Linked DNA regions of Macaca fascicularis. Each later gene encodes a partner of the first gene's protein in a complex. Links are inferred from orthologs where the notes say so. Each region holds a gene or a part of one and is shown in the gene's direction. Other genes may lie near its edges.

What was found.
Region 2: OSGEP (region 1) and GON7 share a complex: the UniProt entries of both Homo sapiens proteins name them as parts of the EKC/KEOPS complex. The link is inferred for Macaca fascicularis from reciprocal best matches to the Homo sapiens genes OSGEP and GON7.

What each region holds. Positions count from the first base shown.
Region 1 is NC_088381.1:88,034,651-88,049,045, reverse strand, and holds OSGEP (tRNA N6-adenosine threonylcarbamoyltransferase), read left to right. Parts: upstream 1-2,839; 5' UTR 2,840-2,991; coding exon 2,992-3,106; intron 3,107-5,476; coding exon 5,477-5,596; exon of another isoform or gene 5,597-5,649; intron 5,650-5,774; coding exon 5,775-5,950; intron 5,951-8,577; coding exon of another isoform or gene 8,578-8,632; coding exon 8,633-8,728; intron 8,729-8,885; coding exon 8,886-8,935; exon of another isoform or gene 8,936-8,997; intron 8,998-9,087; coding exon 9,088-9,166; intron 9,167-9,735; coding exon 9,736-9,801; intron 9,802-9,915; coding exon 9,916-10,006; intron 10,007-10,219; coding exon 10,220-10,295; intron 10,296-10,390; coding exon 10,391-10,489; intron 10,490-10,632; coding exon 10,633-10,672; 3' UTR 10,673-10,855; downstream 10,856-14,395. Other genes in the region: DNA repair nuclease/redox regulator APEX1, read right to left, coding at 240-757, 888-1,080, 1,580-1,767, 1,973-2,030. UniProt on the Homo sapiens protein: Component of the EKC/KEOPS complex that is required for the formation of a threonylcarbamoyl group on adenosine at position 37 (t(6)A37) in tRNAs that read codons beginning with adenine.
Region 2 is NC_088381.1:161,201,696-161,217,437, reverse strand, and holds GON7 (EKC/KEOPS complex subunit GON7), read left to right. Parts: upstream 1-8,247; 5' UTR 8,248-8,305; coding exon 8,306-8,513; intron 8,514-11,552; coding exon 11,553-11,647; 3' UTR 11,648-12,437; downstream 12,438-15,742. Other genes in the region: putative E3 ubiquitin-protein ligase UBR7, read right to left, coding at 111-216, 414-467, 3,541-3,636, 4,975-5,035, 5,399-5,532, 7,902-8,051. UniProt on the Homo sapiens protein: Component of the EKC/KEOPS complex that is required for the formation of a threonylcarbamoyl group on adenosine at position 37 (t(6)A37) in tRNAs that read codons beginning with adenine.

The sequences.
Region 1 (14,395 bases):
GTGGATAATTCAAACAAAGTCATTAGTAGTCTTTGTTCAGTTTTTCTTAAAAAAGAAAAAACCCTCAAATAAAAACTCTTGGGCTTAAAAGAACTCTAAATCTGTCACAGGAGCCTGGTTGTAGGATTCTTATTTTTATAGATGAGAAATACAATGCAGATTTCTCTGAAGAGTGTTTAAAGAAGGAATGGTAGTTGAGGGGGCTTATTTCCCAGGCTCAAAGTGATTTAGGGGTGGTGTCACAGTGCTAGGTATAGGGTGATAGGACAGTGATCACTGCCGAGGGCCTTGGAACGGATCTTGCTATCACACAATGCAGGTAACAGAGAGTGGGACAACAAAAAGTAATCAAGGCGCCAACCAACATTCTTGGATCGAGCATTCATCATGTAAGTCCAAAAGGTGTAGGCATAGGGTGTGTTGGGGTAGAGGTGCCTAAAGCTGTCAGCCAGTGGCACAGCCTGCAGTAATTCCCCAAAGCCTTGGCGCTCTTGTGGCGTGAAGCCAGCATTCTTTTTGTTACCCTTGGGGTTGCGAAGGTCAATTTCTTCATGTGCCACATTGAGGTCTCCACACAGCACAAGGGGCTTTCGGGAAGCCAAGCCCTTCAGGAACTTGCGAAAGGCTTCATCCCAGCGCTGCCGGTACTCCAGTCGTACCAGACCCCGGCCTGCATTAGGTACATACGTTGTTACCAGCACAAACGAGTCAAATTCAGCCACAATCACCCGGCCTTCCTGATCATGCTCCTCCTCGCCTACAGAAACGAAACAGAATTAGCATAAAAAACTGTAAGAAAAGGAAAAGCAATCAAGAGGTGGGGGAGAGATGGAGAATTAGCAATTGGTCTTGAAGAGTTCAGGCATTAGGCATCAATAGGGTCTCACCTATGCCATAAGAAACTTTGAGTGGGCAATGGCGGGAAAGTAGGCCCACGCCACTGTATCCTTCCTTGTCCGAAGGAGCGGACCAGTATTGATGAGAGAGTCCAGGCAGCTCTTGAAGTTCAGCTGGTAGTTTGTTCTCTGAACATTTGGTCTCTTGAAGGCACAGTATATCTGGGGCTTCTTCCTTTACCCACTATAAGTAAAAGAAAGGTGGAAAATGTATTATCAATTCAGCAGAACATTTATTGAATATATGCTAAGTCATAAATATGCACAGGTTAAACAGTCAAGCAGTTCGAGGTTAAATAATATTTAAACAATTCGAAGCTAGATAAATGAAAACAGAGGTAAAGTCTTACGTGCTATACTATGAATGTGTTTTTTCTATAGGCAAGCTAAGATTTTTAAGCTATAATTAATGAAATGGAGGACATGCTGAAGATAAAATGGAGGAAGTATAGTAAAAGGTTTTTGCAACATTCTGGGAAGAGGAGAGAACATTAAAAAAGAAAATGGCAATGGAAGTGAAGGAGCAGACATTTAGGAAATACAACTGGCAAGACTGGGGAAGCCCCACCGAAAACTGCAGGCAGGAGAAAAAACAGCCTGAAGGCTATACGGAGAAAAGGGATGACTAAACCCTAAGATCATTCAATACTAAAGAATGTGTCTTCCCCTCAAACACCACTCACATCTAATCCTTTCTTCTTAATCCAGGCTCGAAGCCCATCCACGTTCCAAGAGCAGATCTTGAGTGTGGCAGGTTTGCCACTGGGTGAGGTTTTCTGATCGGGGGGGTCCTCATACAGGGCTGGGCCCTCTCCTGCTGCCTCCTTGTCATTTTTCTTTGCGGGCGTCTTACTCTTCTTGGGCTCTGGCTCTATAAAATGAGTAATATATATTGACAAAAAGTGGGTGGTTTCCAACCGCGATCCGGCGTTAGCTATGGACCCAACGAAAGCCTGCGGTTACTGCGTCTTCACAAACCCCTGCAAAAATGAGTTGGCCGGTACTTACCGTTCATCAAGGGAATTACAAACAACCCCGCCGTAGCTTCTAGGAAGAGGGGCTCATTTCATTCTTACCTGTCTTGAGCTCATCCCCGTCTTCTGCCACCGCTCCCTTTTTCCCACGCTTCGGCATTCCCGTAACGAACGCTCTTCGGCACCTGTACCGCGTCGCCCACCAAAGCAGTATTTTTACCGCGTTGCCTACAGACGCAAAGAAATCATGAAACCAGCTAAGCCTGGGGAGAAGACTCCTCTCAAGAGCGTCCCCGCACCAGGTCCCGCCTTTCAAACCATGTTATCTCTAAATCCTTTCCCCGCCTCCGTGCATCATAGGCCCTTCAGCCCCTCACCCACGTAACTAGATCATTTCATAGTGCCTTGTACCCTACTCGCGAGATCTGCCCTCCAGCCAATTGAGGATCTTAATTAAGGGTCCTGACTCAAGCTTGCCCTTCAGACTGCCAGCGAAGCCCCTCTTATGAGCAAAAGAGCAACCCCGTATCTGCACCGGTCCGATGGCAGCCTAGCTCCTCCTAACCCGAGCACAAAGAAGGATGCACGCTGAGCCCCCCACGTGGGTAGCGGACCTGGTCACGTGATCAGAGGCACGCGTCACATGGCCGAAGAATGCGCGTGATTGGTCTGTCTGACACCACGTGACGAAGTCGCTTGGCCTTGCCTCTCTCAACTAATTCTCTAGGAGACCTAGGGCCCCAACCCTCGTTCGGGCTGTTTATCGTTGTGCCCGACGCACGGCACATTGTTTGACTCTGACTTAAGAGTCTAACGCTGTGCAAAGGGAAAAAAAAGTGGAGAAGGTTGGGCTGGACCACGGGAAAGATATAGGAAAACGGACAGGATTGTAAAGCACAGAGTCGGCTCGGCGTCCCTGGCAGTTAGGAAGACAGGTCCTTGGAGGGGCCTTGGCGGGTCTCCGCTCGCGGGAGTTCTGCGCTGTCTTTCCCACTGTTATCTGCAGGCTAGCCCGCTTCCTCTGCGCTCCGGAAAGCTGCGGCCCAGCGCAGACTAGTGAGGACTTCCACAGCTCCTGACGTTGCTAGGAGTCCTGTCGGCGTTTTCTCCCAGGCTCCGCCATGCCGGCGGTGCTGGGTTTTGAAGGCAGCGCCAATAAGATTGGCGTGGGTGTGGTGCGGGATGGCAAGGTGCTGGCGAACCCGCGGCGGACTTATGTCACGCCTCCGGGCACAGGTGGGTGAGTAGGGGAGTTAAGAGTTTTCGGCGCACTTCCCCGCAGAAAATCAGCCTTCCATCTTCCTAAATACTAGTGAGGTGCAGCTTTTGATCTGAGTCTTATTGAAATTATGTGATATTATTAACGTCACAAGGCTGATGACTAGAAGAGTTACAAGCACTTGGACGTGGATCTGATGAGTTCGTTTACCGTTTATTGAGCTCATTTTATGTGCTAAGCATTCAGAAATAGATGTTATGATACTGCTGTGGAGTCAGACATATAAATAGATGTTTATACTACAGCATGATAAACAGTGTAATAGAGATGGACTCGAAATATTCTGTTTAAAAAACGCTTAGCAGGAGTATATATTCCAGTTGCCCTGAATATACACTCCTTTTTAAAAAAAATTTATTTTTTGAAATATTCTAGGATGAGTAGAGAGATGAGAGTGGAAAGACTCCCAGCTTACATGTCAGAGAACTGGCTGGCTGTGCTGTATTCACATTAAATATTTATGTTTTGGACATTTGGTCTTTATTTTTTATTTTAATTTGTTTTTGAGACAGTCTTGCTCTGTTGCCCAGGCTGGAATGCAATGGCACGATTTCGGCTTACTGCAAGCTCTGCCTCCCAGATTCAAGAGATTCTTCTACCCCAGCCTCCCGAGTAGCTAGGACTACAGACAGGTGTGTGCTACCACACCCAGCTAATTTTTGTATTTTTAGTAGAGGCGGGGCTTCACCATGTTGGCCAAGCTGGTCTCGAACTCCTGACCTCAGATGATCCGCCCACCCCAGCCTCCCAAAGTGTGAAAATTACAGGCATGAGCCACCGCCCGGGCCTAGTCTTTGTTTTTAAAATGGGAATAATACCTGTATCATTAGGTCTTGAAGATTAGATGAAAGTACCAAATACGTCTGGGTGTGGTGGCTCACGCCTGTAATCCCAGCACTTTGGGAGGCCCAGGCGGGGTGGATCACCTGAGGTCGGAGTTCAAGAACTGCCTGACCAATATGGAGAAACCCTGTCTCCACTAAAAAATACAAAAAATTAACCGGGCGTGGTGGCACATGCCTGTTAACCCAGCTACTCGGGAGGCTGAGGTTGTGGTGAGCCGAGATCATGCCATTGCACTCCAGCCTGGGCAACAAGAGTGAAACTCCGTCTCAAAAAAAAAAAAAGAAAAAAGAAAGTACAAAACACGTTACCACTTTTAATAAGCCATTGTGTCTTGCCTACTCTCCCCTCAAACACTTGCATACATAGGAGAGGGGCGACTGATTTGCATGTATCTGAAAAGCCTCCCTGAACAGGTGATGTGACAGATTACTCATTAGAAATAGGTATGTATGTTTAGCATTCACTCCTCTAGGCACTTGGGCACTGGGAATACAAAGATAAACAAAATACTTACTGCTTTGAGATACTCATGATTAAGCTGAGCAAACCACAGAAAATTATTATGTTGTAATTGTTAAATAAATGACATCATCATGCACAGAGTTCTGTAGGGTCACAGAGAAAGAAGGTCACCAGGCTGGGCGCGATGGCTCAGGCCTGTAATCCCAGCACTTTGGAAGGCCAGGGCAGACGGATCACGAGGTCAGGAGTTTGAGACCAGCCTGGCCAATATGGTGAAACCCCGTCTCTACTAAAAATACAAAAATTAGCTGGGTGTGGTGGCGTCGCCTGTAGTCCCAGCTGTTTGGGAGGCTAAGGCAGAAGAATTGCTTGAACTCAGGAGGCGGAGGTTGCAGTGAGCCGAGATCGTGCCACTGCAGTCCAGCCTGGGCATCAGAACAAGACTCCGTCTCAAAAGAAAGAAAAAAAGGCGGGGCGCGGTGGCTCACACCTGTAATCCCAGCACTTTGGGAGGCCGAGGCGGGTGGATCATGAGGTCAGGAGATCGAGACCACAATGAAACCCCGTCTCTTCTGAAAGTACAAAAAATTAGCCGGGTGCAGTGGTGGGCACCTGTAGTCCCAGCTACTTGGGAGGCTGAGGCAGGAGAATGGCATGAACCCAGGAGGTGGAGCTTGCAGTGAGCCGAGATCGCACCAGGCCACTCTAGCCTGGGTGACAGAGCTAGACTCCGTCTCAAAAAAAAAAAAAAAAAAAAAAAGATCACCAAAGGGTATGGGTAGATACCACTTGCATTGAGACATGAAGGCTGAGTAGGGTAAGAGGAAGAGAATTTCTGAAAGTTGAACAGCCTATATAGAAGCTGGAAAGAGTGTATCCGAAAATGTGGAAGATAGGATGCTTGGGGAAAGTGAAAGGACTCTTACTACATCACTAAACCTCCTGTTGCTTTCTTTAACTTCCTACCTACCTTTGCTACCAAAAATCCCTGTGATCTCTGACCTGTGTTCATTTTCTAGGATTCCTTCCAGGTGATACAGCCAGGCATCACCGAGCTGTTATCCTAGACCTGCTGCAGGAGGCACTAACAGAGTCTGGATTAACCTCCCAGGATATCGATTGCATTGCATACACCAAGGGTATGGCTGGGAGAGTGGTCAACGATGGAGGAATATACCTGCAACCTGGCTAGGTCAAAATAGCCAACACCTTACCTCTGCCACCACCACTACCCCTACCCCACCTCACATCCCTTACTTCCCCCACCTATTTTTTTTCCAATCTCTAGCATTGTAACTTCCATTTCTATCTCCCTAGGCCCTGGCATGGGTGCCCCACTGGTTTCTGTGGCTGTTGTGGCCCGTACTGTGGCCCAACTGTGGAATAAGCCATTGGTGGGTGTGAACCACTGTATAGGCCACATCGAGATGGGCCGCCTCATCACTGGAGCCACCAGCCCAACCGTGTTGTATGTCAGTGGAGGAAATACACAGGTATTTAGAGTGCTCTACCCATTCCATCTCAATTTCCGAGGCACTGAACCAATATCTTCTTCGTTCTATCTGAGTCATGGGAATGTCAGGAACAAAGCTGAACTCATCTGAACCTAAAATACTGTAGACCAGAAAACTCCCAACCGAGTTTGTAACATTGCAAATTTTGGCAGCATGTTCAGAACATTAGATGACTTATCATTATCAGACTTTATATCTGATCATAAAGATTAGGAATTTCTACTTCAGGAAAGGAATGAATGGTAAGGATTGAAGCCTTCAAAATAATGAATATCTGAAAGATCTTGCATTATTTTGAAGCTTATTTTTTCTGTAAATCTTAGCAACTGAAACTAACGGTTACTGGGCATGGCAACTCACACCTGTAATTCCAGCACTTTGGGAGGTCAAGGTGGGTGGATCATCTGAGGTCAGGAGTTTGAGACCAGCCTGGCCAACATGGCAAAACCCCATTTCTACTAGAAATAACAAAAATTAATTTGGCGTGGTAGCAGGTGCCTGTAATCCCAGCAAGTTGGGAGGCTGGGCAGGAGAATTGCTTGAACCAGGAAGTGGAGGTTGCAGTGAGCCGAGATCACACCATTGCACTCCAGCCTGGGCAATGAGAGCAAAACTCTGTCTCAAAAAAAAAAAAAAATAAGGAACTAAGGGACGCTACCTGATTTATTATTTTAGGGCAACTACATGTTTTGTTTTTGTATTACTGGGGATGATTATATAGACTTTGTTGTTCTAAAAGTTCAGAAATATAAATAACTATAAAAATACTTTATAAATTATAGAAGGTATTTTATTTTATCTTATTTATTTATTTGCAACGGAGTTTTGCTCTTATTGTACAGGTTGGAGTGCAATGGTGCGACTTTGGCTCACCGCAACCTCTGCCTCACAGGTTCAAACTATTCTGCCTCAGCCTCCTGAGTAGCTGGGATTACAGGCACCTGCCACCACACATGACTGATTTTTTGTGGTTTTAGTAGAAACGGGGTTTCACCCTGTTGGTCAGGCTGGTTTTGAACTCCTGACCTCAGGTAATCCACCTGCCTCGGCCTCCCTAAATGCTGGGATTACAGGCGTGGGCCACTGTGCCCAGCCAGAAGATATTTTAAATTTATAAGTGAAGCTAAAGTTGTTTGGGATACCTTATATGACCTTTTGAAGGTTGGGATTGGATTCCTTTCCAACAGAACACTTAATTATCATTAGAAATGGTTCAGCATTGTCCCCAGCCCATGAAAGGGTTGTGTCTAGAAGATGAGGCACGTGTTTCCCATGAAAACGATGCGGAAACTTCAGCAGGTAGAGGGCAAGTAGTTGGTTGAGGCCTGAAGGATGACATACAAGGTTAGAGACTTGGGTTGTGGAAAGTATAATGGAGACTACAAGAGGTGATAAAAAGGAGCAATGGCGGCTTTGTCTTCCTCTTTTAATGTTTGCTTAGGTGTAAGAAACAGGGAGGGTAATTAGGTGGAGAGGAGTGGATAGCAGGAGCAGAAAGGCAGGGTTTTTCCTTCTCCTTTGTTACTATCTTTTTGACAGCAGATTAAGATGTGTATCAGAAAGGGAAGAAATCCCTGACAGCACTGGGAAGGGAAAGGGACTTCTTAAGGTTCCTAGGAAACCCTTGGTGTTCTAAGTCTGCAGCATATGTGTCAGTAGGTGACAGATAATCTCTGTGCTAAAAGTTGGTCACATATGAAGAATGGCCTTAATATGTAAAATAGTTGGGCGTGGTAGTGGGCGCCTGTAGTCCCAGCTACTCGGGAGGCTGAGGCAGGAGAATGGCACGAACCCGGGAGGCAGAGGTTGCAGTGAGCTGAGATCACGCCATTGCACTCCAGCCTGGGCAACAGAGCGAGACTCCGTCTCAAAAAAAAGAAAAATGGTCTTAAGTGGACTGCTATTGCTGACTTGGCTGGGCCATTAATCTGCCTCCATATGAGATTTTTGAGTTCTTCAACTCTGCTTCTTGGTTCTAAATACCAGTGCCCAGCTGGATACAATGATTCACACCTATAATCCCAGCACTTTGAGAGGCCGAGGCAGGTAGATTGCTTGAGACCAGGGGTTTGAGACCAGGCTGGGCAATATAGTGAGACCCGATCTCTACAAAAATATAAAAATTAGCCACACATGGTAGGCCAGCTACTCAGGAAGCTGAGGTGGGAGGATCCTTTGAGCCTAGGAGGTCGAGTCTACAGTGAGCTATGATCACACCACTCCACTCCAGCCTGGGAGACAGAGTGAGATCCTGTCTCAAAACAACAAATACCACTGTCACTATGTCATAATTTAGAAGGATTCATGTTCTCTGCCTCCCAGCAGAAAAGCCTGTTCCCTACTGTCAAGACTGCATTTAAGGAATATATTAGGAACTTCTAAGCTGGAAAACAAATGTATTTGAAATGATAATTTATTTCTGCTTGGACCTAGACTGTCTTGTAGATTAGGACTCTATTCCTGGAATCCTCAGGGTATGCAGATGTCTTTTCAAATCAGAGCTGTAAAAACATTACCCATTCACCATTTGGGAAACACCTTTCTTCCACTTCTTATTGGAAGCTCTGGTGGTCATGTTGATCCTCTGCTATGTTTTTCTCCCAAAGCCAAATAATCCTGTTTACAGACTTGGGGTTTCATGGACATCCTCATCACCCTTAGGTGATTGCATACTCGGAACATCGTTACCGTATCTTTGGGGAAACCATCGATATTGCAGTGGGTAATTGTCTGGATCGTTTTGCTCGAGTGCTGAAGGTAAGCCAGTGGGGCTGCAGAGAACATAAAATGCGGGTGAACTTTTGGGAAGCCATGGAGGTGGAGGGAGGAAATAGTAAATAATCTTCTTATGCTTCTTGCATATCTGATTTCATCCTATTCCATTCCCTCTTTCCTTATTTTTTTCTTCTGTTAGATTTCTAACGACCCAAGTCCAGGATACAACATTGAACAGATGGCAAAGCGGTAAGGGGACATAAGGTGGAAGCAGGCTGGCTGCTGGGGCTTCAGGGATTTCCCCATATACGGTATATATGAACAGAACTTAGGAGGGGCTTTGGAGGGTCAGAAGCCGGTTGACTGTAGGCTTAGTGCCTTGTGTACTCATTCCCACACAGAGGCAAGAAGCTAGTTGAGCTGCCGTACACCGTAAAGGGGATGGACGTCTCATTCTCAGGGATCCTGTCTTTCATTGAGGTGAGTGTGAGAGAGGTGATGAGACGGGGCACCTTCATGCTTTTTAAATGAGGCATATCTGTTTTACTTACTGTTGTATTTCACATAGCTCAGTATGTTCATATAGCACATTCCTGGTCCATATCATGTGCTGAGTAAATTCATTTATAAGGTATTCATTGAATATCTCTGTGTGCCAGGTACTGTTCTAGGTAGTAGAGATGCAACATGGAGCAAAACAAAAATCCTTGCCTACATGGAGCTTAGATTCTAAATGGGGGGGTGGGGGAGATAAAAGAAAGAGGAAAATAAATGAAGTGTCAGATGATGATGAGTACAGGTGAAAAATTAAGCAGGATAAGTAAGGGGTGAGACATGTTAGGACAAGCATTCAAAAAGTTAATTATTGCATCTTAAATGAATGCTGTTCATTCTATACCATGATGCCAGTGAAGGGAATGTGGTACAGGATGTGCTGGTAACTTGAATTGTGGTGAAACATGGTCACTCTCCGAATGCATTAACTTTTGTTCTTATGTAATCCCAAAACCATGATTTGCTGATTCATTTGTTTTTCCCTTTAATTGTAGGATGTAGCCCATCGGATGCTGGCCACAGGCGAGTGTACTCCTGAGGATCTGTGTTTCTCCCTGCAGGTAATGCAGTAAAAAGCTGGGACAGAAAGTTGGGACTGGAGGAGGTTTTATATTGTAGAGCAGAACTAATCTGGGGCGCCCCTCTAATATTTTCTCCTTATGTGTCCCCGACAGGAAACTGTGTTTGCAATGCTGGTAGAGATCACAGAGCGAGCCATGGCACATTGTGGCTCCCAGGAGGCCCTCATTGTGGGAGGAGTGGGGTGTATGTATTACTGAACAGTGTTCCTCTTTCCTGTTCTTAGCACTGTGCGTCTTCCTTCTGATACTCTTAAATCATTAAGGGTTTGGAGTAAGCTTCCCAATCCTTGCCCCGGTCCCCTACGTCATTGTTCTAAGTAAGTGCACATGACGTGTTCTGCTGGACCATGAGGAGATAGCTAAAACTAAGCTAATCCTGTTCCCTACCTCTTTGTAGGTAATGTGAGGCTACAGGAGATGATGGCGACAATGTGCCAGGAACGTGGAGCCCGGCTTTTTGCTACAGATGAGAGGTAAACACACTTTCCCTTTGGTTTCTTTTTTACTGCTCCCTGTTATAGGGATTTTCCACCCTTAGATCCCAATTTTCATATCTCTTGCATCCCAGATTCTGTATTGACAACGGAGCCATGATAGCCCAGGCTGGCTGGGAGATGTTTCAGGCTGGACACAGGACCCCACTCAGTGATTCTGGGGTTACACAGAGGTGAGTGATTCAGCTCTTGGTGAGGGTAGATTTTTGGGATGTAGACAAAACAGCAGGGAAGAGAGTCCAGGAACATGAGGGCAGAGAAGAATGGAAGATGTTAAGGGCTAGCTCTCCACCATGTTTCTTCTGTTTTTCCACAGGTATCGGACAGATGAAGTAGAAGTGACCTGGAGGGACTAATAAGATTAACAGAATCACAGTAGACAGTTCCTTAATTGGAACCCAAAGGACCCTGTGCCTCAATCTCTATCCTGATGTCACGGGAGTCCTAGCAAAGCTGTAGACTCCAAGCAAGGCTTGGGGTCCTTTATGGAACCCCAAGATGACTCAGCAATAAAATATTTTTGGTTTTTTGGTTTTGTATGTTGGTGATTGGATTGTGTTGTTCAGGACCAATATAGATTTGGTGCTGGATAAATTCTTGTTGGAGGCTGCTGCTGTGGAACGAAGACTGAGGTTTTTTTTTTTTTTTTTTTTTTTAAGAAACGGAGTCTTGCTGTGTTGCCCAGGCTGGTCTCAAACTGGGCTCAAGCTGTCTTACCACCTCAGCCTCCCGAGTAAGCATGCCACTGTGCCTGGCAACAATAGTATTATCGTAACTATTAGTTTAGTATCAGATCCTGTGCTAACTGCTTTATTTTCATCCTCTCATTTAAATTCTTTGAAGTAGGTACTCAAGACTTCTCTCAAAATAGCCTGGAGGCTAGGTGCAGTGGCTCACACCTATTATCCCAGTGCTTTGGGAGGCCAAGTCAGGAGGATCCCTTGAGTCCAGGAGTTTGAGCCCAGCCTGGGCAACATAGCAAGACACCACCTATTTGAAACTTTTAAAAATTATCTGGGCATGGTGGTGCACATCTGTAGTCCCAGCTCCGAGGGAGGCTGAGGTGGGAAGATAGCTTGAGCCCAGGAGTTTGAGGTCGCAGTGAGCTATGATTGAGTCACTTCTCTCCAGCCTGGGTGACAGAACAAAACCTTGTCTCTTAAAAACAAACAAATCAACAGCCTGGAGATTGGTCTAATTTGTAACTCTAGAGTAAAACTGCATCTACTGCATATACTTTCTCCTACATGCATATCCATTGGCAGGCTTGAGGAATGCCCGTAGATGCACATCCCTCCCTACCACAAACAACAGAACGAATCTCATACCCTTTATCTTATTGACGTTGGTATCAGTCATCACAATTAGTCCTAAACTACTGAGTCATCTCATATTTTACACTTAATAACCACGTATCTCCACTCTGTTTTGTCTCCATCTACCTAACTTTTCCAACTCCAGAAGCTCTTCTACTGTACCCTCTGGAAATGATGGCCAGTCATTTGTCAAATTCTCTGTATCCTCAACCTCTTCTCTGAATGTTCCTTCACATTTATGCTCTCCAGACTTGGTTTCTTATGAGGACTCTGCTTCTCCTAAGGTGGTGTTTTCCCTTCCACACCCATTGTACACTGGGCCTGGGGGTGGTGCACGTGTCCTCATTTTTCCTCATACTGTTTCCAGACCATTGTCCCTCATCCCTAGTACCCTTCTGCTTTGAAACAAACTACCACATGAACACCACTCTTGTCATAAATCTTGATGATTTCAATATTCAGGTAGATCATACTAATAGCCACTTATTTCCTTGGTCATGTTCTAGAGCTGCAGATCCTCCACATCTCAGTTTCAGACATCCCACTCTCTACTACCACCACCTCCTGTCTTTCCAGTTCATTTTCTTTAATATGATAAATCCAACAGAATCCGCCTCATTTCCCTTCCTTTTTTTTGCTTTTGTCATATTCAACTCATTGCCTACTTTAGACCCATGCAGCTGAAAGGGCTAGTAAAAAATAGCCATGCTGACTGATCTTACTTTAAACTTATGACCAAGACACTAAAATGGGGGTCCTTTATGCCACCCAGAAATATTCCATCTCTCTAGTCTTTTCACTTGCCCTCTTCTCTGGTGACTGTTTCATACCTTCTGACCCCTCAAATCTCTTAACATCTCCTCCTGTTCTGACTCTTACCTTAGTTCGTATTTCAGTAAGAAAATAGAAGCAATCGGTATACATTTACAGGCTTCTGCCCCTGAAACTAACCACCTTCTAGCATCTGTACCCATGTACTCTGCCTTCCTGTTACCATAAACCAGTGGTTCTCAACCAGAGCTGATTTTGCTTCTCAGAGGACACTGGATTGTCACTGTGGATAGGAGGGTATTTTGCTGATTAAAAGTCAGGGCTGGGTGCAGTGGCTCACGCCTGTAATCCCAGCACTGGGAGGCCAAGGCAGGTGGATTACTTGAGGCCAGGAGTTCAAGACCAGCCTGACCAGCATGGTGAAATCCCTCTACTAAAAATACAAAAAATCAGCTGGCATGGTGTCGCATGCCTGTGATCCCAACTACTCGGGTACGAGGATCACTTGAACCCAGTAGGCGGAGGTTGCAGTGAGCCAAGATTGTGCCACTGCATGCCAGCCTGGGTAACAGAGCGAGACTCTCAAAAACAGGGATAATTCTCCCTCTTTTCCCGGAGAGTCAGTATTTTCTTCTCTCCTGAATCTTGCCATTAGCACACAAATATGCCACTGTTTTCCTCATTTTACAAATAATGCCCACTTCGCCCCATTTGCCCTTCCAGCTGCTTCCCATTTTTCTGTTCCACATTACAGCAAAACTTAGAAAGACTTGTCTTCGATTTCTCTCCACCAGTTCCCTATTAAATCTCCACCAAAACTATTCTTATCACAGTCACTAATGACTTGCACATAGCTAAATGTAATGGTGTATTCTTCATCCTCAGAAGCTGTCGGCAGCATTTGGCACTCCCTCTTTGAAAAGTTTCCTTACTTGGCTTTAGGATGCATTCTTTGGTCTGCCTCCTAGCTTACTGACTGCCCTTTCTTAATCTCCTTTGCTAGTTTCTCCTCATCTCCACAGAGTTTAGTCCTCAGACTGCCCTCTTTACACCTACACCTGCAGTGACTTCATCTAGTTGTATACATTAAAATCATTTTGATGGGCGTTACTCCCAGTTATAGTTCCAACCTAGACTTCTATCCTAAATACCTAGCTGCCCATTGGCACCTCCACTTGGATGCTTAATAAGGATCTCAAATTTAACATATTCAAAATTGCACTTATTCTTTCCCCAGCTTAGTCCTGTAGTCTTTCTTGTTTCTGTTAACAACTCCATTCTTCTAGTTGTTCATGTCGAAGTATCTGTGTCAGTTTCCTTTCTTCTCCAATTAATCAAATCCTCTTGGTTCTACCTTCAAAATATATCCAGAATTCCATTTCTCCTCACTTCCACTGCTGCCACTGTAGAGCAAGCCAGAATTATGTGTCTTCAAGATTATTGTAGTAGCTGGTCTTTCTCCTTTTATCATTGCCAACTTAAGAGTCAATTCTCCACATAGCAGCCAGAGTGAATAGTGTTAGCATGGAAGCCAGATCATGTTACTCTTCTGCTCAAAACCCTCGGTGTTTTCTTAATTCAAAAGAAAAACCAGAGTCTTTCTAAAGGCCTGTGAGACTGTCTATGATCCACTCTGCCCTTCCCTGCTTACCACTTTCATCTGCTACTCAATTCCTTGTTTGCTCTGCTCCAGCAACACTGACTTTTCTGTTGGCCTTTAAACATCACAGTTGTCCTCTGAGGTGGGAGGAGAATATTGGGTCCTTGGTAAATGCAGAGTTCACTTTCTAATCCTTTCTGGTTTATATGTCACTATCTTCCCTTTCCTATTCTCCCTGGAACTTGGAGAACTTGGGACTTCCTGGGGAGCCATGGAGTCCTTACCTTCATCATCACCAAGCCAGTACACGTCCACTGCCCTCCGGCCCTGCTTGGACTGGAACATTGAGGCTGCTGGAGTAAGGATGCTGTCTGAGAAAAGAGAAGAAAAGA
Region 2 (15,742 bases), about 73 Mb from region 1:
ATACTATTTTATAACCACAGAGTTAAAAATAGTTGCTAAAAATTCTGAATTGAACACACAAATTTCACAAGCACAAGTTTATGGCACAGCAACTTCACAAAGATACCTACCTGCCAATTGCGCAGCATAAGCCCACAAAAAGGAACAACGTTTCATGCAGGCCTGGCATACCATCTCTTGAAAATCCCCACTCTCGGGGGGAATGGCACCAAGATGCTGTGAATACAGAACACCAAAAATTTTCTTGTGATTGCCACACTGTCCAAAATGCCCATTATTTTACAAATAAATACTGTAATAATACACTGATCATATCACTAAAATTTATTTTTAGAAGAGTAATTATAATGTAAAATATAACCTTTATCTCTTTGTGATGACAATGGTTTCAAAAGGTAGAACATTTTCCTTACCCTTCCATGGAACCAATCTTCACAGACCACACACTGGATCATCTCATCTGGAATCTAGCAGAGAAAAGCAGTTTGTTAAGGAGTACACTGAATTCGGGAACATGGAAGTAACCTGGCACGCAGTAGAATAAGATACTAAATATTCGTTCCACATGAACTGGTGTTCCAAAGGCTTACATTGAGATAAGCCCTCTACAAACAATCTCAAAGCTCTTTCACATCAGTTACTTAATATCTGATTCTCACAAAACGGTGTAGACAAGGAGGGCATTCCCATTTTATACAAAACTCAGGCCCAGGCAAGTAATGTGAATGGACCGATGCAGACAGTGACAACTGGGACTTTTTACCACACCATCCTTTAATACAATACTCAGTTGTATTACTGTATAGGATGGTCACTCCAGCCTTCTTTATGATATTGAAAAATTAGACAATGCTTTTCTGCTGCAGAAAAACCATCCTGCCAAGTACACTGAAAAGTAAATGTCAGGAAAACCCTCTTGATAGATAACTCCTCTAATTTGAATAAATTAAATAATTAAATGCTGGCCCTAGGAAAATAATATACCAAAGAACATAGACTATTTGGGAGATGACTTTCTTTTATTCCCAGGCTCTCATAACTGTTAATTAACATCCCAATGTTGTTCTGTCCTTTTCCTATTGTAGGCTTCTTAAAGGGAAAAAAAAAGCACATATTGTGGAACAGAAGGAGCTGTAACACTTTACTACATGCCTTAAAATATCCAGTTTTGGCCAGGCACGGTGGCTCACGCCTGTAATCCCAGCACTTTGGGAGGCCAAGGTGGGCGGATCGCCTGAGGTCAGGAGGTTGAGACCAGCCTGGCCAACGTGGTGAAACCCTGTCTCTACTAAAAATACAAAAATCAGCCAGGCATGGTGGCAGGTGCCCGTAATCCCAGCTACTCAGGAGGCTGAGGCAGGAGAATCGCTTGAACCCAGGAGGCAGAGGATGCAGTGAGCCGAGATCACGCTACTGTACTCCAGCCTGGGTGACAGAGCGAGACTCCGTCTTAAAAAAAAGAAAGAAAAAAAATTTCAGTTTTAAGATTTTATTTTTGCTAACTCAGAGAACTTCAATCTGTCCCTGTACATAATTTGGTTTAATAATTATAGTTCGAACGCAATTAGAAAACAAGGAAGAAGGCAGAAGGCTAATATCTCTAAAGACAAAAAGTACTCTTTCAAATCAGTAAATACCCAAACAAAACCCAAACCAATCAAAACATGGGCTGAGGATATGAAAGGACAATTCAGAGGGAAGGTTATTACGGATGTCCAACGAACTCATGAAAAGATGCATAATCTCACTTATCATCAGGGAAAGAAAAAAAATTTAAGATACTATTCTTCATTTATCAAAATGGCAAAATTTCCAAGAACTGGTAATATTCAGGGTTGACAAAAGTGTTGGGGAAAAAACATTATCATATACTGTTGCTGGTTCAACTTTTTTGGCAGATATGATCACAATTTTATTATTTATTATGATTATTATTTTTTGAGACAGAGTCTCGCTCCGTCACCCAGGCTGAAGTGCAGTGCCGCAATCCCGGCTCACTGCAACCTCTGCCCCATGGGTTCAAGTGATTCTTGTGTTTCAGCCTCCCGAGTAGCCAGGACTACAGGCATGAGCCACAGTGCCCGGCCAATCACAATTTTAAACACCACAAATACACTTTGATCTGTCAATTCTACTGATCCATTCTACATAAATACTTGGAGTATACTCAGTTGTATTACTGTATAAGGATGTTCACTCTAGCTTTCTTTATAATATTGAAAAATTAGATAATGCCATTCTGCTGTAGAAGAACAATTCGGTTGACTAACTTATGGCATATGAAGTTATAGGATACTCTGCAGCAGTTAGAATGGGGTAAGTGTGTTTGCTGACATGAAAGAATGTCTATGATATACTGGTGAGAAAAACCAGCTGCAGAAGTGAGTGTACAGAATTTTCACTTCGGTTAATGGAAAGGAAATTACACATTGAAACACATTCACTCAAAACACTTTAATGTGCACAGAAAAAGACCTAAAAATACACACACCAAAAGTGTTAACAGTGGTTAGGCTTGGGAGGTAAGAGGTGCAGGAGTGAGGAAGAACTCGTTTTGAATTTGGCATATATTTCTCATTGACATTTTTTTTTTTTTTTTTTTTTTTTTTTTTTGAGACGGAGTCTCACGCTGTTGCCCAGGCTGGAGTGCAGTGGCGCGATCTCGGCTCACTGCAAGCTCCGCCTCCCGGGTTCCCGCCATTCTCCTGCCTCAGCCTCCCGAGTAGCTGGGACTACAGGCGCCCGCCACCGCACCCGGCTAATTTTTTGTATTTTTAGTAGAGACGGGGTTTCACTGTGGTCTCGATCCCCTGACCTTGTGATCCGCCCGCCTCGGCCTCCCAAAGTGCTGGGATTACAGGCTTGAGCCACGGCGCCCGGCCGACATTTTTAAGAGGATGCTGTTTGTATACCCCATTTCTTTCCGTAGAGAGACAGAAGAAATTGAAGGTCATTTCTTAGAAAGTGTTAGGGGGCAGGGGGAGGCAGTCAGGGAAGGAGAGGAAGGGAAGAAGCTCTGGCTTTGGGAAAGTCCTCTCCAATATTTCATTCTTTTTTTTTTTTTTTTTTTCTTTTTTTTGAGACGGAGTCTCGCTCTGTAGCCCAGGCTGGAGTGCAGTGGCCGGATCTCAGCTCACTGCAAGCTCCGACTCCCGGGTTTACACCATTCTCCTGCCTCAGCCTCCCGAGTAGCTGGGACTACAGGCGCCCGCCACCTTGCCCGGCTAGTTTTTGTATTTTTTTAGTAGAGACGGGGTTTCACTGTGTTAGCCAGGATGGTCTCGATCTCTTGACCTCGTGATCCGCCCGTCTCAGCCTCCCAAAGTGCAATATTTCATTCTTATGATGTAAAAATGGAAAGAACGGTTGAGATGTGTACCAATTATAGATCCGACCCAGATTCATAAGAAAAGATAAATCTAGAACCCTTTCACCATCCCGCACTGCCTCCCGAAGAGCCAGAGGCTCAGATATGACAAGCAGTTGAGGAATCAAGGCTAGAGGGGACACACTCCCAGGTTTAACTTCCAATTCTCTTACCTCGTCTTCAGGATCAGGATAAGGTCTCTTGCAAATGCAGTACAATCCAAAAAAGTTGTCATTGTACTTATTGCCAGAATTTACCTTTGCTTTGTCCTGAAATATAATATTGATTTCAATAATAATATGGTCTAATTTTAACTATAATTTCACACATTATAAAATTAATACATTCAATACATTTCCACATTATTTCCCCCAAGAGGCTGATCTTTAACTTTCAAAGTAGGAAAAAAAAACCTCACTACTACTAAAGGGATACTTTTTTCAGGATACAGGGAAAAAATAAAATTTTGTGTTTGTTTTTGTTTTTTTTGGTGGTAATTAGGAGAAATTAAATACACCTATTCAGTAAAGTGGAGATAAAAGTTAATCATAAATATTAATTATCAATCTATGTGAACTGACATTGGCCTGGAATTTCAAGGTACTTCTTTTTCCTTTTTGATAGAGATGGGGTCTCACTACGATGCCCAGGCTGGTCTGGGTTCAAGCCATTCTCCCACGTAGGCCTCCCAAAGTGTTGGGATTACACGTGTGAGTCACCACGCCCGGCCTTATTTATTGGTTTTTCTTTTTCTTTTCTTTTTTTTTTTTTTTTTTTTGAGATGGAGTCTCGCTCTGTCTCCCAGGCTGGAGTGCGGTGGCACAATCTTGGGTAACAGAAACCTCCGCCTCCTGGGTTCAAGCGATTCTCATGCTTCAGCCTCCCGAGTAGCTAGGATTACAGGCACACACCACCATGCCCAGATAATTTTTTGTATTTTTAGTGGTGGGAGCATTTCACCATGATGGTCAAGCTGGTTTCGAACTCCTAACCTCAAGTGATCTGCCCCCCTCGGCCTCCCAAAATGCTAGGATTACAGGTGTGAGCCACTGTGCCAGTCTATTTATTGTTTTCGTTTTGAGATGGAGTCTTGCTCTGTTGCCAGGCTGGAGTGCAGTGGTGCAATCTCAGCTCACTGCAACCTCTACCTCCTGGGTTCAAGCAATTCTCCTGCCTCAGCCTCCCAAGTAGCTGACCGAGTAGGTAACTGGGTGCCACCATGCCCAGCTAATTTTTGTATTTTTAGTAGAGACAGGGTTTCACCGTGTTGGCCAGGATGGTCTCGATCTCCTGACCCTGTTTATTGTTTTTAAGTCATATCCTTTGCTTTAAAAGCCTCAGAGAATAAGTACAACCAATATAATTAAACCTGAATTACTTTCAAGTACATCTCTTCCCCAAACCTTTCATATTAATTACCATCTATCTTGTAGGCTCTCAACAGTTTATATAGTTTTTCCAACAAAGTAAAAAATTAAATGGCCATCTGCAAAGAATAAGCATAAGAACTTCTTTTTTGGAAAATATAGGTATTTGTTTTTTACCCCCTCTGGCAAATATTAACCCCAGCTGCTCTAACTGCATTTATAGTTACAGTGTTTACTTACAGGAAGTAATTTGCATTCCAAAGTTTTAAACTTGCTGTTTCCACAATCACAACGAAAATTTCTGAAAAAAGGAGGAAATAACAATTTTATTTTTCTTTTTACAAAATCCAATTTAAAATTTCTTCAAGCATTCAAGCACATAAGACTTCACAATTCTGGAAATTAATATGTACAGAAGCAAATATTTATATCACATACACACAAACACACACAAGTAAAATGATGGTAGAGAAAGATGAGTAGTTTGAGTTTGTACCATATTATGTTTTTAAAGGCTCTGGAAACTCCAATTATATAAAATAATTACATGAAATTTCACTACTGTACAACAGCTTTGCATGAAAAAACATGATAAGGAAAAAGTGTAGATGGGACAGAATCTACACTTCAAAAGCATTTAGTAACAATCTCTGACTATGTTTACCTTTTTGTGTATAGCTCAAATAGTTTGTGACTTCCATGACATTCATAACTGCAAGCTAAACAAATTCCTGCTGGTTCTTCTCCCTCTGGGGTGCAGGTACTACAGGCATATAGTGCTTGCCTCTTTACTGAGCCCTAAAAGCCCCCAAAATGGAAAAGAGAATTAATGTAATAGCATGGCTTACCTAATACCCACACTAGGAACTGAAAAATAATTAAAATCAGATTATCTGTGGTCAAGATCTTTCTGTAAAAACCATTAAGACTAAAAAGTTTACACAGCAGAGCATCAACCAAAACACAGTTGTGTTGCATGTTTCATTTTTATACTAGTGCTTTTCATGCAAGCACTTTTTTCTTTCTTCCTAATTTATTTATTTTTTGCAGAGACGAGGTCTTGCTATGTTGCCCAGGCTTGTCTCAAACTCCTGGGCTCAAGCAGTTCTCTGCCTTGGCCTTCCAAAGTTCTGGGATTACAAGCATTAGCCATGACACAAGTCAGCACTCCTTTCTTAAAGTGATAGGATGTCTGAATTTGTCAGTCGGCTGTGAATAAATGAATCTGTTTAATCATTTTAACAGGTGAAAACACAGGAGCATATGTATAGGTTTATGTAAGTAATATCACACTTTCATCCTGGAAAATGTTTGTAAATCCACCAAAGAGAGAATCAACACATGCAAAGAATCTCTTTGATTTTTAGGAGATGCATGCTGAAGTATTTAGAGGTATAGTGTCATCATGTCTGCAACTTATTTTTAAATAGTTCAAAATTTTAAAACAACAAATTTTAAGTAGAAAAGGAGATAAATGTGACAAAATGTTAAAAAGTGAATATGTAGGCTGGGTGCAGTGCTCACGCCTGTAATCCCAGCCCTTTGGGAGGCCAAGGTGGGCAGATCACCTCAGGTCACGAGTTCAAGACCAGCCTGGTCAGCGTGGTGAAACCCCATCTCTAAAAAACCCCATCTACTAAAAATATAAAAATTAGCTGGCCGTGGTGGCGGGCATCTGTAATCCCAGCTACTCGGGAGGCTGAGACAGGAGAATCGCTTGAACCCGGGAGGTGGAGGTTGCGGTGAGCCAAGATCATGACATTGCACTCCAGCCTGGGTGGCAAGAGTGAAATTCCATCTCAAAAAAAAAAAAAAAAAGTGAATATGTATAATAGGTATAGTTACCTTCCTCTAGGAAGGAGGAAGAATAGACAAGGAGGCTTCCGGGATGCCAGTAAAATTCTATTTCTTTCTTTTCTCTTTTTTTTTAAGTTCTTTTCCAATAAGCCTTTTGCACTCCTAATGTTCTATTTGTTGATCTGGGTGGTGGGAACATGCACACTTTCCTTTCAAGCTGTGTACATGATTTGTGCAAATTTCCATATTTTTTTTTTACCACAATAAAAAGAAAACATTAAGGGAATCCATTTTATAAAGGTAACTACACTTCAAAAATAGTTTACATACAGACTTAGAACTTTTTTTTTTTTTTTTAAGGAAAGCAGGCGAAAAATTGTTTTAGTGGTGACCAAAGGTTTTAAAGTACCTGGGGCTATGTCTGGATACCAGGTTTATTCAACAATCTAGCACTTTGCAGTGTAAACTAAACTTGGTCAACAACGAGAACTGGTATTATGACCTCAGTTCATACCACATAATGAATGCAAGTCTCTCCTCTCATCTCCCCAGTGTTCCAATCCACCCCTCTGCCTCGGTAACCCTTCTTCCTGCCAGTTCTTATCCTTTGTCAGTCTTCTTCCTACCCATCCTTTTCCATTTTTGTGCCTCGAAGTATAGGGTGAGTCACTAAACACATCACACCCCCTCAAACACTTGCTCACTCACAACGTCTTCCAAATGCCAAATAGATCCTTTTCTCCTCTCTCCCCTCCCCTGCCAGAGCCACTTGCTGTTCTGTTTCCGGTCTATTTCCAGGGGAGGAGGGCAGACTGCAGACAGACATGGGTACTTGCTCCATTTTGCCAAAAAAAGAAAGAAAAAGTACTAGCTAGCACTTGTCAAACTAAATTGCAGAGGAACTAGCTGTCAAGGAGCTCACCGCAAATCCCTATGGATTTGAAAATCTCTTTAACCTGACGTCTCCCATTTGGTCCCTAATAAATAAATAAATAATCTTAGGATGGGAAAAGCAGGGACAAAGATGTCTGGATCTGAGAGGTCGCGGGCTGGTTTCGTGAAAAGCAGTGGTGCACCAGGACGAGGCTGGAGAGGACGGACAGAGCAGCTGCTCCAGGGTCCTTCCTGGCTGGCCGGACAGAGTTAGAGAGAGGGGAGATGGGGGCCCCTGCTGGACACAGGCTGAAGGGGGCCCAGGAGGTTGGGGATAAAAGGGAAGGGTGGGCTTGGGGTAAGGAAGCGGCAGACTAACGGCGGCCCCGGACCACCACTGGGGAGACGACTGCGGCAGGCGGGAATAGGGACAGCCGGGCCGGGAAGGGGAGGTTCGGCGGGAGCCGCGGGAGACAAGGCCCGGGCCGCGTGCCCACCTGCGAGTAGGAGCACTTCTCGGAGTCGCTGCCGCCCAGGACAGCACACGCCTCATTCTCCAGCTCCTCGTCCTCCTCGAGGACGTCGACCAACGATACCACGGGCTCCAGCTCCGACTGCCGCCCAGCGGAGCCCTCGGCTCCGGCCATCCTCAACTGTCACCCGAACCGCGGCTCGGCCCCGGCGGAGGCGGGAAAAGCGGCCACGAGGGGCGTAGCCGGAGGAGGCGGGGCCCGAGTGCCAGGAACCAATGACAAGGAAAAAAGGCGAAGGAAGGGGGAGGAGCGACTTCCGACAAACGGATGTCACTCCTCTCCCTTCTGCCGCCTGCGCAGGCCACGGGCTGATTTCCGCCTCCGGGTGGCGCTTCCCGGTGTCGTGTTCTGGAAGCTTAGTGGTCACCATGGAGCTGCTGGGAGAGTATGTCGGGCAGGAAGGGAAGCCGCAGAAGCTGCGGGTGTCCTGTGAGGCGCCGGGTGACGGCGACCCTTTCCAGGGCCTATTGTCTGGCGTGGCCCAGATGAAGGAGCTGGTAACGGAATTATTCGGCCCCCTGGTACAGGCGGAAGTGCAGCACCGGGTGGCGGCGGCTCCAGACGAGGCCCTGGACGGTGAGCTCTGAGACGGTGCTGCAGCGACAGGAGGACGGGGCGGGAGCCAGGGGAAATTGGCTTGGGGAGCCCGTGTAGAGTGGCAGACTTGGACAAAGTGAGCCTCGAGGAAAGAAGAATTGCATCTAAAAATTTTTGGCGGGCCAGGCGAAGTGGGGCTCACTCCTGTAATCCCAACACTTTGGGAGGGCGAGGCAGGAGGATCACTTGAGGTCAGGAGTTCCAGAACAGCCAGGGCAACATATCGAGACCCCGTTTCCATTGTTATTTCAAAGATAATTTAAAAAATAAAAATTGTTGGCATTTATCACTATATTTGGGCTGCTTCTACTCAAACATTTCCACGACTCATCGCTATTTCATTTATTTCACTAAAAAACTTGCCGAATGCCTACTACTATTTGCCAAACCCTGAGCTGAGCCCTGGAGGAAGAATGAGGTCAATGCGACTCAGTTCCTGCCCTTGTGAAACACAAGGGGATTATACAGGCAGACACTCTTATTAAAAGTGAAAGTGGCCAGGCTGGTAGCTCACGCCTGTAATCCCAGCACTTTGGGAGGCTGAGGCGAGCGGATCACGAGGTCAGGAGTTCGAGACCAGCCTGGCCAATATGGTGAAACCCTGTCTCTACTAAAAATACAAAAATTAGCTGGGAGTGGTGGCGGGCACCTGTAATCCCAGCTACTGGGGAGGCTGAGGCAGAAGAATCGCTTGACCCCGGGAGGCGGAAGTTGCAGTGAGCCGAGATCGTGCCACTGCACTCCAGCCTGGACTACAGAGCGAGACTCCGTCTCAAAAAAAAAAAAAAAAGAACGTGGTTCTATGGCCCTCTGTAAGTGTTGCAAACCCAGAGACCCTCGGAAGGCTTCAAAGAGGATAAGACTTTTGAGCTGGAGTATTGAATAAAAAGGAGTTTTATCAGGTGTGAAACTACAGACATATTTGGAAGAGTACAATCTATCGCAGAGTAGGAACAGGTTCCAAGGAGTGGGACAGACTTAATTTTAACATGTATTAACTCCTAGAGACTCCCTTGCCTTTCCAGTTTTGTAGGTGCAGTTTGAAAGTAGAAACGTGAAGTTTAACTGCATTATTTTTTAAAAATTGCCTCGAATGCAGAAATAGGCAGGTACTTTTTTTTTTTTTGAAATGGAGTCTAGCTCTGTTGCCCAGGCTGGAGTGCAGTGGCACAATCTCGGCTCACTGCAACCTCTGCTTCCCGGGTTCAAGTGATTCTCCTGTCTCAGCCTCCCAAGTAGCTGAGATTACAGGCGCCCGCCACCACTCCCAGCTAGTTTTTGTATTTTCAGTAGAGACAGGGTTTCACTGTGTTGGCCGGGCTGGTCTCGAACTCCTAACCTCGTGATCCACCTGCCTTGGCCTCCCAAAGTGCTGGAATTACAAGCCTGAGCTGCTGCACCTGGCCAGGCAGGTACATTTTAACTGTCCTGAGCTGAAAAATCCAAGAATAGATATTAGAGTTAGGATTTACAATTCTCTAAGAAGAGCTTAAACTGTACTTTCCTTCCATCTTGGGAATTACATCTTGATAATATGGATGTTGGCTATGATCAAAAAGAACAATAACAAGTGTTGGCTGGAATGTGGAGAAATTGGAGATCTTGTACATTGTTGGTGGAAATGTAAAACAGTGTAACCACTGGGAAAAAGAGTTTGGTAGCTCCTCAAAAAGTTGATATGAAGTTACCACATGACCCAGCAGTTCCACTGGTAGTCCTCGCAAGAGAACTGGAAAGTATGTTCACACAAAAACTTACACATGAATGTTCATAGCAGCAGCATTTATAGTGACTAAAATGTGGAAACAACAATTGACCGGGCTTGGTGTTGCACCTTTAGGAGGTGGGAGGATCACGTGAACCCAAGAGTTTGAAGCTGCAGTGGGCTGATTGTTCCACTGCACTCCAGCCTGGAGGACAGAGTGAGGCCCCATCGCTTCATCTCTAAAAATAATGATAATTTTAAAAAATAGAAATAATGCAAATATCCATCAACTGATGAGTGCATTAACAAAATGTGGTGTATCCATACAATGGAATATTATTAGCAATAAAAGGTAATGAAGTATTAATACGTGCTACAACATGAATGAACCTTGAAAACATTATGCTACAGTGAGAGCCAGACACAGAAGGGTACATGTTATATGATTTTGTTTATATGAATGTACAGAATAGGCAAATCCATAGAGAGAGATTAGTGAGCTGGGTGCAGTGGTGGGCACCTGTAGTCCCAGCTACTCTAGAGGCTGACACAGGAGGATCACTTGAACCTGGGAGTTTGAGTCTAGCCTGGGCAACATAGCAAGACCCTCTCACTAATAAAAATTAAGGGGGAACAAAAGTAGATTAGTGGTTGCCGAAGGCTGAGGGAAAGTGACTGCTAATGGGCATAATTCATTTCTCTTTGGAGTGATGAAAGTGTTCTAGGATTAGAGAGTGGTGATGGTTGCACAATCTAGTGAATATACTAAAAACCACTAAGCGGTACACTTTTAAAAGTGGATTTTGGCCGGCTACAGTGGTTCATGCCTGTAATCCCAGCAGTTTGGGAGGCCAAGGCATGCAGATCACGAGGTCGGGAGATCGAGACCATCTTGGCCAACATGGTGAAACGCTGTCTCTACTAAAATACAAAAAATTAGCCGGGCATGGTAGCGCGTGCCTGTAATCCCAGCTACTTGGGAGGCTGAGACGGGAATCACTTGAACCCTGGAGGCAGAGGTTGCAGTAAGCTGAGATCGCGCCACTACACTCCAGCCTGGTAACAGAGAAAGACTCCATCTCAAAAAAAAAAAGAGACTGGATTTTATGATGAATGAGTTAATATTTCCAAAGAGGAAAGTGATAGAAAATAAAGATTTTAAACACTGAAATTCTCAAAATCATTTTAATCTAAAATGTGCATGGTTTTATTAATCTCTAAAGTGAAATGGTCTCGTTATCAACCACTTTAGCTATATATATTTCTTTCAACCATAGAACGTATTGTCATACAACAAATATTTATTTTAAAAGGTGATGATGAAGATGATGCCGAAGATGAAAATAACATTGATAACAGAACTAACTTCGATGGACCATCTGCAAAACGGCCAAAACCACCATCTTAACAATAGCCTTTATGACATTTAAAAGATGGCTGTTGTATCCCAATTGTCACACTAGGACATTTAAGGAAGACTTATGCTCTAATTTGGAAAAGCATTTGTGTTGTTTTCCTGGGACAATTTTGCCAAAGAGAAAACTGGTTTTTCTGTTTCTAGCAAAGACAGTAAAGGCTTAGAAATAAAATCTGTTTTCTTGAGAAATAAATTTCAGACCGTGGGAGGAAAATAGAACACTTCATAATATATAAAATCCTCTTAAGTTGGCAACTGAATTTTTATCATTGTTTTCTATTTTTAAAATAACCATTGGTTTGTGTGATGTCTACATCTTTTAACTTCTGCTTCTGTTATAAACAGTACGTCATGGTTCATAGGCAGTAACATTTCAGAGAACTGACATGAACAAGTGGTGAAAAGTGGGCATTAAATGTAAAAATAACAGTTCTTCATAAATAGAAGGAAAATGAGGAAATAGAAATACTGAAGAGAGAGTCCTTGAAAGAGACCCAAGGAAACCCTGAATTCATACCCATGTCAAAGATACAGATATCCTGAGATGATGCCGCTTGATGAATGTGCATTAATCTGATTTATCATGTACCTTAAGAGAGCCAGATGGGGTAGGGTATGCTTTTGTGCTGTGATATAGTATGTATACAGGTACAAATGGAAGGCCTTAAGTAAATAATCTGCGTTGATTACAATTTGGATATTTCCTCTCCTCCTGTAGCCATGCTTTGATTTAGCTTTAAAAAGATTATTGAATCCTTTAAAAATATATATTCCTAAAGTATGTATGTGTGTGTTTCTTTTCTGCTTGTCAGTGGGACTAAGGCATGTTTATTCACTATGCATCCTTCCTGATGTAGATAGCTTCAATGCAAAGAAATCAAGTAGCATGTACCTAGTAAAATACAAATAGTCATGGGATTTTAGAGTTGAAAGTAACTTTACAAACTATGTGATTTATTTCACAGATAAATCTCAGGATAAGTATTTGCCCTCAGATTACAGAGTACTGGGTTACATAAATAGCCTTTAGGTTTTTTTTAAGCTGATAAAAGGTGAGAGAAATCATTAATCAACTTTTTTTTTCTTTTTTTTTTTTTGAGACAGAGTTTCACTCTTGTTGCCCAGGCTGGAGTGTATTGGTGCGATCTTGCTCACTGCAACCTCTGCCTCCCGGGTTCAAGCAATTCTTCTGCCTCAGCCTCCCAAGTAGCTGAAATTACAGGCATGTGCATTTTAGACAGGGTTTCACTCTGTCACTAAGGCTGCAGTGCAGTGGCACGATCTTGGCTCACTGTCACTGCAACCTCCGCATCCCAGGCTCAGGTGATCCTCCCACCTCAACCTCTCAAATAGCTGGGACCACAGGCATGCACCAGCACATCCAGCTAATTTTTTTGTATTCTTTGTAGAGATGGTTTCACCACATTGCCCAGGCTGGTCTAGAGCTCCTGGACTCAAGGGATCTGCCCACCTCAGCTTCCCAAAGTGCTGGGATTACAGGCAAGAGCCCACCATGCCTGGCCTAATCAACTTTTTTTTTTTTTTTTTTTTTTTAAAGACTAAGTCTGGCTCTGTCGCCCAGGCTGGAGTGCAGTGGCCGGATCTCAGCTCACTGCAAGCTCCGCCTCCCAGGTTTACGCCATTCTCCTGCCTCAGCCTCCCGAGTAGCTGGGACTACAGGCGCCCGCCACCTCGCCCGGCTAGTTTTTTGTATTTTTTAGTAGAGACGGGGTTTCACGGGGTTAACCGGGATGGTCTCGATCTCCTGACCTCGTGATCCGCCCGTCTCGGCCTCCCAAAGTGCTGGGATTACAGGCTTGAGCCACCGCGCCCGGCCTAATCAACTTTTATGAATCACTTTTATTATGAAATAATTTAATTTTCATATCATTGAAAATCTATATACCTTTTCATATCATTGAAACACTGTTTTACTTTGGAACAGCAGCCTTCCACTAAGTACTCTTGGGCAATCAAACAATGCCAACTAGAAAAAGTTATAGATCGTCAGAAATTATCTGTTTAGTTTATGCTGATGTTTCTAATATTTAGCTGTTATTTATTATAGTACTGTTATCTCTATACAATCATTAAAGAAAAAACTGGTTGGGTGCAGTGACTGATACTTACAATCCCAGCACTTTGGGAGGCCAAGGCGGGCGGATCACCTGAGGTCGAGAGTTTGAGACCAGCCTGACCAACATGGAGAAACCCCATCTCTACTAAAAATACAAAACTAGCCTGGTGTGGTGGCGCATGCCTGTAATCCCAGCTACTTGGGAGGCTGAGGCAGGAGAATAGCTTGAACCTGGGAGGCAGAAGTTGCAGTGAGCCGATCGTGCCATTGCATTCCAGCCTGGGCAACAAGAACGAAACTCCATCTCAAAAAAGAAAAAAACTTACCTGTATATACGGAAAATAGATCACATTGTTAAATTGATATCTGAACCTTTTCTCTGAACATTTTATGTTTCCTTTGGAAAATGTGGGTATAAAGAAGAAATTTCAAGATAATATTTGTGTTTGTGGCCCAGTGTTTTTAGATTCTGATTTATAAGATTGGTCTTTTAATTAATTTTAATACTGATTTCAATTCTAATACTGTCTTCTTTGTAAGAAAGCCACATGTTTGACAAAGATGGGCCAGTATAGAAGAAATGCTTTGCCAGGTTTTCTAATCTGCTGCTGCGCTTGGGTGTCACTGTCACTCAGGCTGGAGTACAGTGGCACACTCAGCTTACTGGAATTCCTGGGCTCAGGTGATCCTCCCACCACAGCCTCCCAAGCAGCCAAGCACTAGGTGTGTGCCACCACGCCAGGCTAATTTATTTTTTATTTTAGTTCTTTTTTTTTTTTTTTTTGAGACGGAATTTCGCTCTTGTTGCCCAGGCTGGAGTGCAATGGTGCAATCTCAGCTCACCACAACTTCCACCTCCCGGGTTCAAGTGATTCTCCTGCCTCAGCCTCGCGAGTAACTGGGACTACCGGCATGCACCACCACGTTAGGCTAATTTAGTATTTTTAGTAGAGACGGGGTTTCTCCATGTTGGTTAGGCTGATGTCAAACTCCCGACCTCAGATAATCCACCCGCCTCGGCCTCCCAAAGTGCTGGGATTACAGACACCGCACCCGGCCTTTTTTTTTTGAGATGGAGTTTGACTCTTTTTGCCCGGGCTGGAGTGAAATGGCACGGTCTCGGCTCACTGTAACCTCCACCTCCCAGGTTCAAGTGATTCTGCTGCCTCAGCCTCCCAAGTAGCTGAGATTACAGGTGCCTGCCACCATGCCTGGCTAATTTTTGTATTTTTAGTAGAGACAGGGTTTCACCATGTTGGCCAGGCTGGTCTCGAACTCCTGACCTTAGGTGATCCACCCACCTTGGTCTCCCAAAGTGCTGGGATTACAGGTGTGAGCCACCGTGCCCAGCTACCAGGCTAATTTTTAAATTTTTTGTCGAGATGGGGGCCTTGCTTTGTAGCCCCGGGTGGTCTCGAAACTCCTGGCTGTAAGCGATCCTCCTGTGTTGGCCTCCCAAAGTGCTAGGATTACAGGCATGAGCCACCGCACCTGACTAATCTGCCTTCTATGGTACAAACAGCCACAGGCAAGCAGAATAAAGTTACTCTTTGAAACAGCTCCAACTTTACTTTTGAACAGGAAAGTCAACTGCACAATCCTACCTAAAAATAAGCTTGACATTAGACTTAGATAAATCTTTTAAAATGTGAAACATATGGAATTTATGCAAGATAGATGTGTTTTCTAAAAGTAAGTCCTTTTGCGTCACAGTAAGAAATGTTTATTTTAATAATAGAATTCTGTGGCCAAGGACGAGAACTTTTACTCTTTTATAACAGGTTGTGATTGCTTGGCTATAGTATTAGGTGGTGCAAAATTAATTTTAAGACATTTAAACCTTTTTGGGAAGAAAAACTTACTTTGGAAAAATAGGAAAAAAAATATGTGAGGAAATCAATTCCCCCCGCCTCTCCGTTTAGAAATGGGCATTCAGAATCGGAGGAATTTTTCTTTCTTTTTTTTTTTTTTTTGAGATGGTCTCTGTTACCCAGGCTGGAGTGCAGTGT